3 linked regions of the Drosophila melanogaster genome follow. The protein of the gene in region 1 purifies or fractionates together with the protein of each later gene. This does not show direct contact. Each region holds a gene or a part of one and is shown on either strand. Other genes may lie near its edges.

What was found.
Region 2: the proteins of CG7483 (region 1) and Prp19 purify together in Drosophila melanogaster (affinity purification with mass spectrometry, with the first as the bait; one study listed by BioGRID). This does not show direct contact.
Region 3: the proteins of CG7483 (region 1) and Bin1 purify together in Drosophila melanogaster (affinity purification with mass spectrometry, with the first as the bait; one study listed by BioGRID). This does not show direct contact.

Annotation. Positions count from the first base shown.
Region 1 is NT_033777.3:8,311,087-8,314,838, forward strand, and holds the start of CG7483 (uncharacterized protein), read left to right. Parts: upstream 1-2,121; 5' UTR 2,122-2,251; coding exon 2,252-2,384; intron 2,385-2,444; coding exon 2,445-2,811; intron 2,812-2,866; coding exon 2,867-3,058; intron 3,059-3,119; coding exon 3,120-3,627; 3' UTR 3,628-3,752. Other genes in the region: CG11694 (uncharacterized protein), read right to left, coding at 197-982; CG11698 (uncharacterized protein), read left to right, coding at 1,158-1,946. UniProt on the Drosophila melanogaster protein: ATP-dependent RNA helicase. Core component of the splicing-dependent multiprotein exon junction complex (EJC) deposited at splice junctions on mRNAs. Involved in exon definition of genes containing long introns, including the rolled/MAPK gene.
Region 2 is NT_033778.4:18,449,222-18,452,973, forward strand, and holds the start of Prp19 (Pre-RNA processing factor 19), read right to left. Parts: upstream 1,821-3,752; 5' UTR 1,688-1,820; coding exon 1,669-1,687; intron 1,605-1,668; coding exon 251-1,604; intron 200-250; exon of another isoform or gene 148-199; coding exon of another isoform or gene 1-147. Other genes in the region: CG30120 (uncharacterized protein), read left to right, coding at 1-147; rswl (roswell), read left to right, coding at 2,155-3,495; Dnaaf3 (dynein axonemal assembly factor 3), read right to left, coding at 3,556-3,752.
Region 3 is NT_033777.3:16,187,883-16,191,634, forward strand, and holds the start of Bin1 (bicoid interacting protein 1), read right to left. Parts: upstream 1,683-3,752; 5' UTR 1,321-1,682; exon of another isoform or gene 1-1,320. UniProt on the Drosophila melanogaster protein: Involved in the tethering of the SIN3 complex to core histone proteins. Interacts with bicoid (bcd) to repress transcription of bicoid target genes in the anterior tip of the embryo; a process known as retraction.

The sequences.
Region 1 (3,752 bases):
TGTTCGGAAGCTTAGCGAGGTGTGTTGAGTATACGCCCCGTAATCCCCAATTGCATCATGATAAACTTGATGTCACAATTTGTAGTTTATAATTGTGATCTCACCTACGAACTATTGAATTTAATAAAACTGAATTATATTCTCCCTTTTGAAAATGCAAAGTAAAATAAAATATAAGATATACAAGTTATTGGCTTCAGTTGGTGCGCCCCCTCTTCAGCCAGAGTAAGTGCCTCAGTTCCGCCCTCCTGCGCTCCCTGGTGGCCCTATGCCTGGCCTCCTGGGCAGCACAGGCTGCCTTCTCGGCGGCGTTTTTGGTATTCTTGAAATCCACACGGGCCACCTCCAGCTGGCGGAGCAATAGCTCCACCCGCTTCTTGGCCGCTTCCACAAGCTGTTGCTTCTCGCCCAGCTCCTGCTGAGCGCCACTGGCCACGTGCTCCGAGTTGACCACATTATCCTGCGCATTCTTCACCGCCAGCGTAATGGTGTTCAGCTGATCTGCCGCCTGTTTGGCCGCTTGCCCGGCCGCAGCATAAGTAGTTTGGGTGGTCTGTAACAAGGTGCTCTCCTCCTGGACCACTAGCTCCCCCTCGCGCACCTCGGACTCCAGTTGCTCGACAATCTGTTGCTTGCCGGCCAGAGCAGCTTCTGCCGCCTTGGCTGCGGCCAGCGCTTTGTCGGCCAGTTGCTGCTTCACCTGGCGGGCAGCTGCCTCGCCAGCCTCTATCTGGGCATCGGATGCCTCCATGGCTTCCTTGGCCGCCTTCTGCGCAATGCATGAGGCCTTTACCCTGGTCTTTCCATTCATCTTGAAGTCGCACGGGGCACCGCCGGAGGATGACGACACACTGTTGTCGCCATCACCATGATGATCCGACATTAGAGCAGCTATCTCATTGGAGGACTGCGGCAACTTGTGGCCCGCAGAATGATCTGAGAACAGGAAGAAAAGTAGAAATGCGATTCGTGCTATCTCCATGCTTAACTCGAAATAGTTGTATTAAACGGATTTCTAAAGATATTTAAGAAATATATACTCCAGGTAACTTGTGGTTACTGTACAAATATTTCAAATAATAGTGATTTGAAAGGTGGAGCTGCTATATTCCCATTATTATCTCCACATTTCGATTTCCTGATGAGCCTTGAGATTTATGTACGATGCAAGATTCCCAATGCGTTGCGACTCCCTGGTTACGATGTTGCTTCTTTCGAACATCCTGCTGTCGACCGCCGCGCATCCTGCCCAGCGGAATGATCCGCGTTTCAAGCCCGGCTCCCTTCCCTGCAAGACGAGCATGAAAGCCAGCCAGGTGGCCTCGAAGGCGGCCAAGGATGCGAAGGACGCCAAGGATGCGCAGCCATGTGCCGCGGAGATGGCGGGCTACAGGGCACGGGAAATGCTGGCGGACAGGGCGTTGCAGGCGGCCAAGGCTGCGGAGGCGGCTCTCAACGGGAAGAAGCAGCTCCTCGATGAATACACCAAAAGTCTGGCAGAAACGAACAGGGTTATCGAGGAAATCCAACGAGCCATTGCTGCCAGCTCGTGCTCGGCGACGTCGGCAAAGGGGATCCGTGACAAGCTCTGCACATCCGTGAACATTATGAAGAGTATGCTAAAGGAAATGGGCGGAAATCTCGATAACATCCGGAGGATGGCCGACAGTGCCCAGAAAGAGGCCCTGGAAAAGCGCAGCCTTCTGAAAGCGGCCAGGATGCGGGTGGAAGAGCTCCATAGCTGCATGTGCGAGGCTCAGAAGGATCTGGAGCGAAATAAGCAGAGCGCTAAGAAGGCCAACGACGCCGCCAAGGAAGCACAGCAACGGATCGAAGCTTTGCAAAAACTGGTGAGCAGGATTAAGATGCTGAAGCGAAAGGATCTTCAGTCGCTCGAGAACTTCCTGCGCAGGAGAAGAAGTAGCACTCCGGAAAAAACAAGTTGAGTTTCTTGTTTGTTATGGCAATAATCATATTTATATTTTATAAAATACAATAAATAAGAACATATATTCACTTTAAATTTTTTCCGCCCGATATCAGTGTTGCCACTTGTCGCAAAATAAGTGAAAACATATCGATATCAAATTAAATCGACGCCGATTCAATAATCGATTGTTGCTAAGCAATTGATAGGCCACCCCTAGTAAGCGGACCGCATTTTTTTCTGTGAAAGTCAGAAAAATTAGCCGAAAAAGACTGTAAATATTTATTAATATCAGCCGAAACCGCACGCGAACAAATCGTGAACATGGCGCGCAAGAATGCCCAGGCGGAGGACCTCTCCAACGTGGAGTTCGAGACGAGCGAGGATGTGGAGGTGATACCCACATTCAACGCCATGAATCTAAAGGAGGAGCTGCTACGCGGCATCTACGCGTACGGTGAGTGGTGTGTATACCTATGGCCGGTCTAGAACTAATCCAGTTTTCTGCACTCCCAAGGCTTCGAGAAACCCTCGGCCATTCAGCAAAGGAGCATTACGCCTATCGTCAAGGGACGGGATGTGATTGCCCAGGCACAATCAGGCACGGGCAAAACCGCCACCTTCTCCATCTCCATCCTGCAGAGCCTGGACACCACGCTGCGGGAGACGCAGGTTCTGTGCCTGTCGCCCACTCGCGAGTTGGCTGTGCAAATCCAGAAAGTCATTCTTGCCCTCGGCGACATGATGAATGTCCAGTGCCATGTGTGCATCGGTGGCACCAACCTGGGCGAGGATATCCGCAAATTGGACTACGGTCAACACATTGTGAGCGGCACTCCAGGACGAGTCTTCGACATGATCAAGCGACGAGTGCTGCGAACAAGGTATGTTTCATTGTGCCCGATCAAACAATATTATAATTATAAGTACATTTTATAGAGCCATCAAGATGCTAGTGCTGGACGAAGCTGACGAGATGCTTAATAAGGGTTTCAAGGAACAGATATACGATGTGTATCGCTACTTGCCACCAGCCACCCAGGTGGTGCTCATCTCAGCTACCTTGCCCCACGAGATACTCGAGATGACCTCCAAATTTATGACAGATCCGATTCGCATCTTGGTCAAGCGGTAAGCAATATGATGCTCCCCCATATACGCAGTATGATTCATAAATTCCATTCCCTCACAGTGACGAATTGACACTGGAAGGCATCAAGCAGTTCTTCGTCGCCGTGGAGCGCGAGGAATGGAAATTCGATACCCTGTGCGATCTGTACGATACTCTGACCATTACCCAGGCCGTCATCTTCTGCAACACGAAACGCAAGGTGGACTGGCTGACGGAGAAGATGCGCGAGGCTAACTTTACAGTCAGCTCGATGCACGGCGATATGCCGCAAAAGGAGCGTGACGAGATCATGAAGGAGTTCCGAGCCGGCCAGTCGCGAGTGCTCATCACCACCGATGTGTGGGCTCGGGGTATCGATGTACAGCAGGTGTCGCTGGTCATCAACTACGATTTGCCCAACAACCGTGAGCTGTACATCCATCGCATCGGTCGTTCTGGTCGTTTCGGACGCAAAGGTGTTGCAATTAACTTTGTCAAATCGGACGATATCCGCATCCTGCGCGACATTGAGCAGTACTACTCCACACAAATCGACGAGATGCCCATGAACGTGGCTGACTTGATCTAAACTAATATTCTATCATTACTTTTATGTAACGCACTTTTCCTAGCCGTAACAACAAACGAATGAAGTAAATACATTTGAAGAGTATTTGAATTTCAATAGACAACCAAAATCTGTATAATAATAAT
Region 2 (3,752 bases), on another chromosome or scaffold:
GAGCAGCAGGTTCGACGTCGCATGGCAGCGGAGAAGGAAATGTCTCGCCGTGCGTTAGTCAAGCAGAACCGGCTACACAACTGGATGGCGCATTTCAAGAAGCATCATGATCAGCAGGTTGAGCAACGATGGAAAAATAAAGTCTAAGCTAGACAACAACACCATACTTAAAACATTAAATGAATACAATTTAAAACTTATTTTAACCTCATTCTGAATGATTTCAATAAGAAAAGTACAATTCACTTACCTGACATCGCTGCCGGCGATAGCCAGATAGGTTCCGCTTTGGTCGAAGCACAGATCCTTGACCTCGTAGCCGTCATCAAGCTGGATTGTCTTAAAGTTCTTCAGCTTTCGCAGATCCCACAGCTTAACGCAGGCATCATCTGCAGCGGTGGCCAGGTAGTAACCGTTCTCCGAGAAGGAGATGGCCGAAATGGGACCGGTATGACCAGGGAAGTTGGCCACATTGCTCTGCTCCTTCAAATCCCAGATCTTAACCTGCGAGTCCACGGTGCCCGTACCGAAGATCAGACCATCAGGATGGAATTGCGCTGTCGTCAGCCCGACTTCGGCGGTATCGATTACCTTGGTGAGCAGGCGTCCTGTGCGGATATCGGAGAATGCCCAGTGTTTGTCGGATGATGTGGACAGCAAGTAGTCGCCAGTGGGGTGCAGCGAAAGGCCAGTAACAGGTCCTTCGTGGCAGCGCAGGAGAAGCTGCGTCTGCGAAGTGGGCACGTGCCAGATGCGTATGTTCATGTCGGGCGAGCCGGTTATGACTGTATCCTCGTTAGGATGATATATGACTTTGGTGATCTTCTTGGTGTGTCCCTTCAGGATGGCCACCATCTGCTCTGTGTCCTTGTTGAACACGGTGGCGTTTTTATCGTTGCCTCCGGTCAGAATCTTACTGTGATCAGCACTGTTGATGTCCAAGGCCAGAATGCCGGGAACGGAGGCCGAGTGTAGGCCGGGATGGGATGCCACAGTAAGGAAGTTCTTAACCTGATCCGTTGTAACCAGATCCTCGGGCACAGTGCGTCCGCGCTTCTTACGCTCCTGCGTCAGCACCGTGGCCTTGTCCTGCAGTTTCTGTATGACCTCGGCGCTCATGCCCGCCTGCTCCATGGGATGGGCAGCAGCTCCGCCAGCCTCAGAGGCCAGGGCCGGTTGTGGTATTGCCGTGGGTGCGTTGGCAATGCCCGCCTGCGGTTTCAACGTGGCCAGAGCTTCGCGAGCGGCGGCCACCTCCTTATTGAGGCGGGCAATCACACGACAGGCGGCATCGTGCTGATACAGCGCATGGGACAACTCCTGGCGCGTCGTTTGCAGCTGCTGGCGTTGTGTGAACGAGTGAATCATGAGGGCGTCCCACTCGTCCTGCATCGTTTTCAAAGTGGCCGGAATGCTGGTGGCACTTGGCGGTTTCGGTTTCACCACAGCCGGCGTCTTGATCTCGATCAGCTCCTCCGGCTTCAGCTCCTTGCCGCTAATGGGATCGCAGCCATTCTCTAACAGATACTTCTCAATCACCCGCTTTTCGAAAACGGCTCCCGAGTGCGGGGAAACCACGGGCGTCTCGGGGACTTCGTTTGTCACTTGGAATGGAAAGTGCGATTCATAATGGCCCAATTCAAATCAAAATCTAAATTATTCACTTACGTGCGCAAACCAAAGCCATTGCTGTTTGTGATTATGTCGCTTTTCGCGTAGTCTTGTTGGTAAATTAAATGTTTTACACGTTTTTCCCGAGCCAAGCGCAAAATTGTCGGCAAAGCCGCTTCTTCTTATTATGCCAGTTACTCGGCGACGCGGGAGTTTCGAGCACAGGGCTGCCAGATCAAATGGATTTTGGCTAGAAATTTGCACAGAAAAAACTAGCTAGAATTTAAACAATTTATTTTATTGATAACACAACACATTCAATAAGTATTTAATCCATAACAATAGTTTTTATAGATAAATGACATTTACTGATAGAGAAGTGAGTAACATATCTTAAATCAATCAGCTATCTCACCGTTTTGCCAATCACAGTTCCGCACGCACAATCCATAATTGCTGGCAACCCTAGCACGTTGTTTCTGTTATTCAATTCACGATCTAGTTTTATAACATAGTTTACTGCCATTAAGGTATATTTTTAAAATGCTGAAGCATTTTGCACGATGGCGTCTGGGCAGCCAGTTGCTAAAGGGATGTGCCGCACCAGTGAGGCAAGCCTCCAAAACCTCCAGCGCAGAGAACCTGATAGCCGGCACAGAGGAACCCCAAAAAAAGTTCGTCAATCCGTTTTCCCAGCCCGCTCCTGCGTTAAGTAATGATACGATATCAGAGAACAAGGAGGAACGGGATAAGCGACTCAAGGTGCTGCAGCTGGAGGCGGACATTGCCCACCAGGAGGGTCGGCGGGTGCCGTCACTGGAATTCTTTAAGGATCATCATTGGGAGCACGTGCTGACGCTACCCACAAAATCAGCTAGGATCAAGTACTTTGGCTATCTCTGGCAAATCGAGATGAAGAAGGAGGCGGATCAACGCAAGAAGGCAGAGCGAGCGAAGGAAGCCGAGCGGCGGGTTGCGGAGATGCGAAAGGAGCGCGAGGAGAATACGCACATTATCTATGGCCTGGGACACACATCGTTGTTTCTGCGTATCTATGATACCACTATTAATCACTGGCAGAACAACCGACTCACACGGGCCATGCAGTTTGCCCCCAAAATGGTTTTGGATTGCTCCTACGATGAGCACATGAACAATCGGGAGGCTACCTATGCAGCAAAGCAATTGATGATGTGCTTTGCGGAGAACCGGATGAATGATGAGCCCTTCGATCTGCACTATTGCAACACCCAGATGGACAGCAGATGCATGCAGAGCCTCCAACGCTACATCCCCACCATGCACAATCCAGAGTTCCCGATAAATTTGCATAGCAAGTGCTTTACGGAACTCTTTCCCAAGCAGAACCTGGTCTACCTAACGCCCCACTGCCGGGAGGATCTGGTCACTTACAACCCAGATGACATCTACATCGTGGGCGCCATGGTAGACACTATGAACAACGAACCCCTTTCGCTGGCCAAAGCCAAACGATTGGGCCTTCGGATGGCGAGACTGCCCCTGGATCGCTACCTACAGTGGGGTTCCGGTTCGGGAAAGTCGCTAACTCTAAACCAGATGATCAACATTATGCTGGACCTCAAGAAAACCGGCGACTGGGATACGGCCTTGAAGCATGTGCCCCGTCGGAAGGTCGTGCAAAACGAATTCCAGCCGCGCAGGGAGAAAGATCATTGGAGCACAGGCACGCGGGCCAGGAAGCTTAATATGCGAATCGATCATCTGTTTGATTTTGACGAGAATCGCCGGCAGGCTACCTCCTATGCAACTCCGCAGAATGTAAGGCAGCGACGGGAGGGCTTGGAGTTCCAACTGGACACTTGGGCAACGGGGAAGCAAAAGAAAAAGCAGAGACAAAATTAAAGTTACTCGTTGTATTCATTAAGATGCATATTTCATTTTATTCGGATTCGGATTTCTTATTCATGGGAAGTTAGTTTTTGGTTGTAGGGGACCTTCTGCCTCCACTTCCTTCTTAATGGCTGCCACAGTCTGATTCGATGAGGGAATCTCTTCAATTACTAGACCAGTATACTCTTCAGCAGGTTCACCATAATCTGTGTCTGTGTCATATTTGAAAGTACTTTCTGGCATGGCTTCTGTCACGGCTTCATCTTCTT
Region 3 (3,752 bases), 7.9 Mb from region 1:
AATCTGTGATTACCCTGGTAAAAGAAAAACACTAGAAGGGGAAAATACCCCACTTGAATTAACCCCCTGCTAAAGGGTATTTTCGCTTCGGCGTGTCTGAATATTTTTAGTTGGCTCGTGTTTTAAAGTCCTCGAATCCACTCCCACCTCGTTGATCCTGCAGCAGCTGTTTTTGCCACAGTTCCTGCTGCTCTTGCGTGGGAGCAGAATGTTTGTTGTTCCTGCTGTTGTTATTGAATCCCCCCTCCCCCCCCTTCGTCCTTGGCCATTGTTCTGTGGACTCGTTTTGGCCGGAGCGGAGGGGTTGCAGCCGTGACCGTGACTGACTGCCCGTAACCCCAGCAACGACCACATAGTGGACGATGTTATTGTTATCGCATACTTTGGTAACCAGTGCACTGTGGTCGGGATGACCAATATGAAGTAAGACGCATTAAAGCTGTTTCTTTAGTCACTTTAAAAAATGAAAAATTTATAAAGATAATACTCAGCAATACTTCTGCGACAAATTCACATTCGTAAATTATTCAAATTTGACAAAACAACGGAATGTTTAAAAACTTTATAGTCTTTTTAAGTTAGAATAAGTCTTAAGTTCTAGAAAGACCCCACGAAGTTGAAGAAAATGTACTTTAAGTGAAGTAAGTCTTCAGTGGCTTCAGTGGAATCGTATGTACTCGAATCGGAAGGTGGGTAAAGATGTGAACAATAAAGTAATATGTTTTTCGAAATTAAATTCCGCCCACTGTCCGTGTTCGTTGCTGCGGCTGCTGGCTGAATTTTAAACGTGCCAAGTCCTTGGTTGTAAACTGAAGACGTGCGGTGTGGGGCGATTTGTTGCCACTGTTGCGGTCGCTTTGTTGCTGCCGCCTTACTTCGTTTTCGTTATTTTTTCTCAAATATTAATTGCTTTGAGCAACAGTAGAAGCCCTTGGCTACTGCTCCAAACCCAATCACTTCGAATTTCCGAAAATTCCCCAAGCAGCAGCACAACGAGTTTGGAAAAGTGGCAAGGCGAAGCAGACGTAACCGAAAGCAATAAATTCACAAATGCAAATAAAATGCGAGCTTTGCTTCAACTCCTGTTCTGTATACATATGTATTTGATTCTATTTTTTACCCGGCCAGTTGACAGGGGCGTGTGCGTGGGCGTTTCTACTGCCAGCCGCACAACACAATGTCCTGGGTGTAAGTCTCGACCTTGGCTTTGCATAGCGACCTTTCGCCAATGCCACAATATATCCCCATTCCTACCCATATCCCTATTCCCCGAATGCCCAGTGGTGCCCACTTGTTTGTAGCGAGGACAGATTTACTTGCCATTTCCAATCCGGGGAATCCATTTCGCAGCCAGCTGTTCAGACTTTCAGATAAAGTGCACGCTTAAGAGAATCATGACAAATTAATGCTTGTGAATGAAGTGGCAAATCATCGTTTCATGGCCAAAAAGGTCGTATTCGAAGAAGATCTAGAATTAGATATTGGAAAGAACCTGCAGCAGATGGCTCATATTAGAAATATCTAAGAAATGTGGCTGGTTATTAACGTATAATTCCATTAGGGTCTTGAGCACTATTGTATATGTCGGCGAAACAGGAGTCTCATCCATATTATTTATTCACTTCGCGATTTTGTACGTCAGCGCAGCAAGTTCCGATCGACGTCAGCAGTCAAACTTCACTGAAGGGATCTTCTTACATGTCCCTTCTTCATCATATTCTCTAATGGCTATACACACTGGCGTGTGCCACATTGTCATCTCTCTCTAACACACTATTTATGACCACTCGATCGGACCTCACTCAGCTGCAGAGGCTGTTCGTGCCTCTGCCGCAGCGCTCGACAGAATTTTACCGCAATATTACAATTTCATCAGAATATGAAATCACAGAAGGAATTTCTGGAATGCGAAGAGTCGCGCTCCGACATATACAATCATGCTGATAATAACATTGATTTTATTGCACATTTAATTGCCTTACATTGTATTACACTTTCTAGCAGTATTCAAGATTATCTCCTATTATTTATAGCAATTTGTTAGTTGTTACTCATGCATAATGGCGACTTAATATTATATTTTAAAATTGTTTTTTTCTTATGTTAATCTGGATTACCACCCCACTTCGTGATTAATTCTGAGCGGAGAACAAAAACACTCTGATAAATTAAGTTGTAAACAACTACTTTCGAAAAGCAATTAAAAAATTTATTTACAGTATTTCACGATAAGGCGAATAACAAAACCATTAACTTGTTAATGTGCCGGTACAAACTATTTCCTCTAAAATGTTATCAGTTATCTGATTACGGGTTGATGTGATTGATTCCAAATATAAGTTGTTAAAGATTGAGTTATTTTAAGAATACCCGCTGATAACATTTCCTTTTGTGAAATTTATTGAACGGTCGTTCAATAAAGAATTGCCGAGAGCATTCTGATTACCATTCTGCTGCAAAAAACACTCGAAAACAACCCGTCTTTAAGAGACTGCAAAAGGCCAAGGAAAGATCACTCGTCTGTGCCTTTGATTGCGAACGACCACTGAATCGATGGGAGAAAGATATGGGAGTGCGTATATGTGGCCAGAAAATTATGTATACGCAGCGTTTCCTCATTGAGAGGCGCTGCTGACGCAAAATAAATGAAACGATTTTAAAATAAAAGCAACTCATAATTTTTGCCCCTACGATTGGTGCCTGTGTTGTCGCGTCTGTTGTCCATTTTATGCTATTTCTGTTTGCGTTCGCTTTTGTTTTGTTTTCCATCTTCTTGCCTTTTTGCCAGGGTTTTGCCAATTGATGAATTGAATACGTACAGACCGCTGCCGTCGGCTCTTTCGTCAATTGGCTTGACTGGATCTAGCTGCAGTTTGCACTGACGTCACGTCCCAAAAGCAAAAGTGCCCCTAACTCACTTAACACATCGGCCTGATTGGCAGCGACGTCGATTCCATTCGACTGTATATGCGCGCATACGTATGTTCTGCTTGACTTGAGGTATACTTGAGTTGTAAATGTCTCAATTAACCATAGTAACAATAGCCAAATGTTATCTATGGAGTCTAAATACGTCCATTTGGTGCGTCAGTGGGGACTGTCGTCGCGATAAGAAGCGAATCGAGGGAACTACCGTGGCCATGATTTACGATAACCAGCGGGTTTCAACCGGTTGAACTCAACATTGAACTGCTGATAACACTTGCTTAAAAGCGATTTATTGGAATATTTGCTGAACAGGATTTTAATTCCTTCCTTGCTTGGAAGCAAGAACCACTGTAAACTTTTGGTAATCTCTTCATCCTACCCAAATCACCGAATTTCGGCAGCACATGTCGGCGATGGCGGCTCCTAATAGAAATCGCTTTTGCATAGCCAAGTTGGCCCAAACTATTTTCATGTCAAAGCGCTGACAAGACGGGCGCACACAGAAACCTACAGATACACAGATACATTTGCACTTGGAGCCGCACAGTTGCGAGTGACAGTCGACAACAAAGGGGCTGGTCGAATCAGTTTGAGTCTGAGGCAAGTGAAAACTCCTCGGAATCGCCCAAGGACTTTGAGTGATAACAATCCAATTTGTAAAAGTAGTGGGCGGGGATGGATGAGCTGTTATGGTATGTGTATGGGGGCCGCATTAGAATTTACAATTTCGTCGAAGGTCAATCGAAATGCCAGGAATTTTCTGACCCCAAAAAGAGAAACCATTTTTCATACATTCACTTGGTACAAATGTGTTAACAATCCAA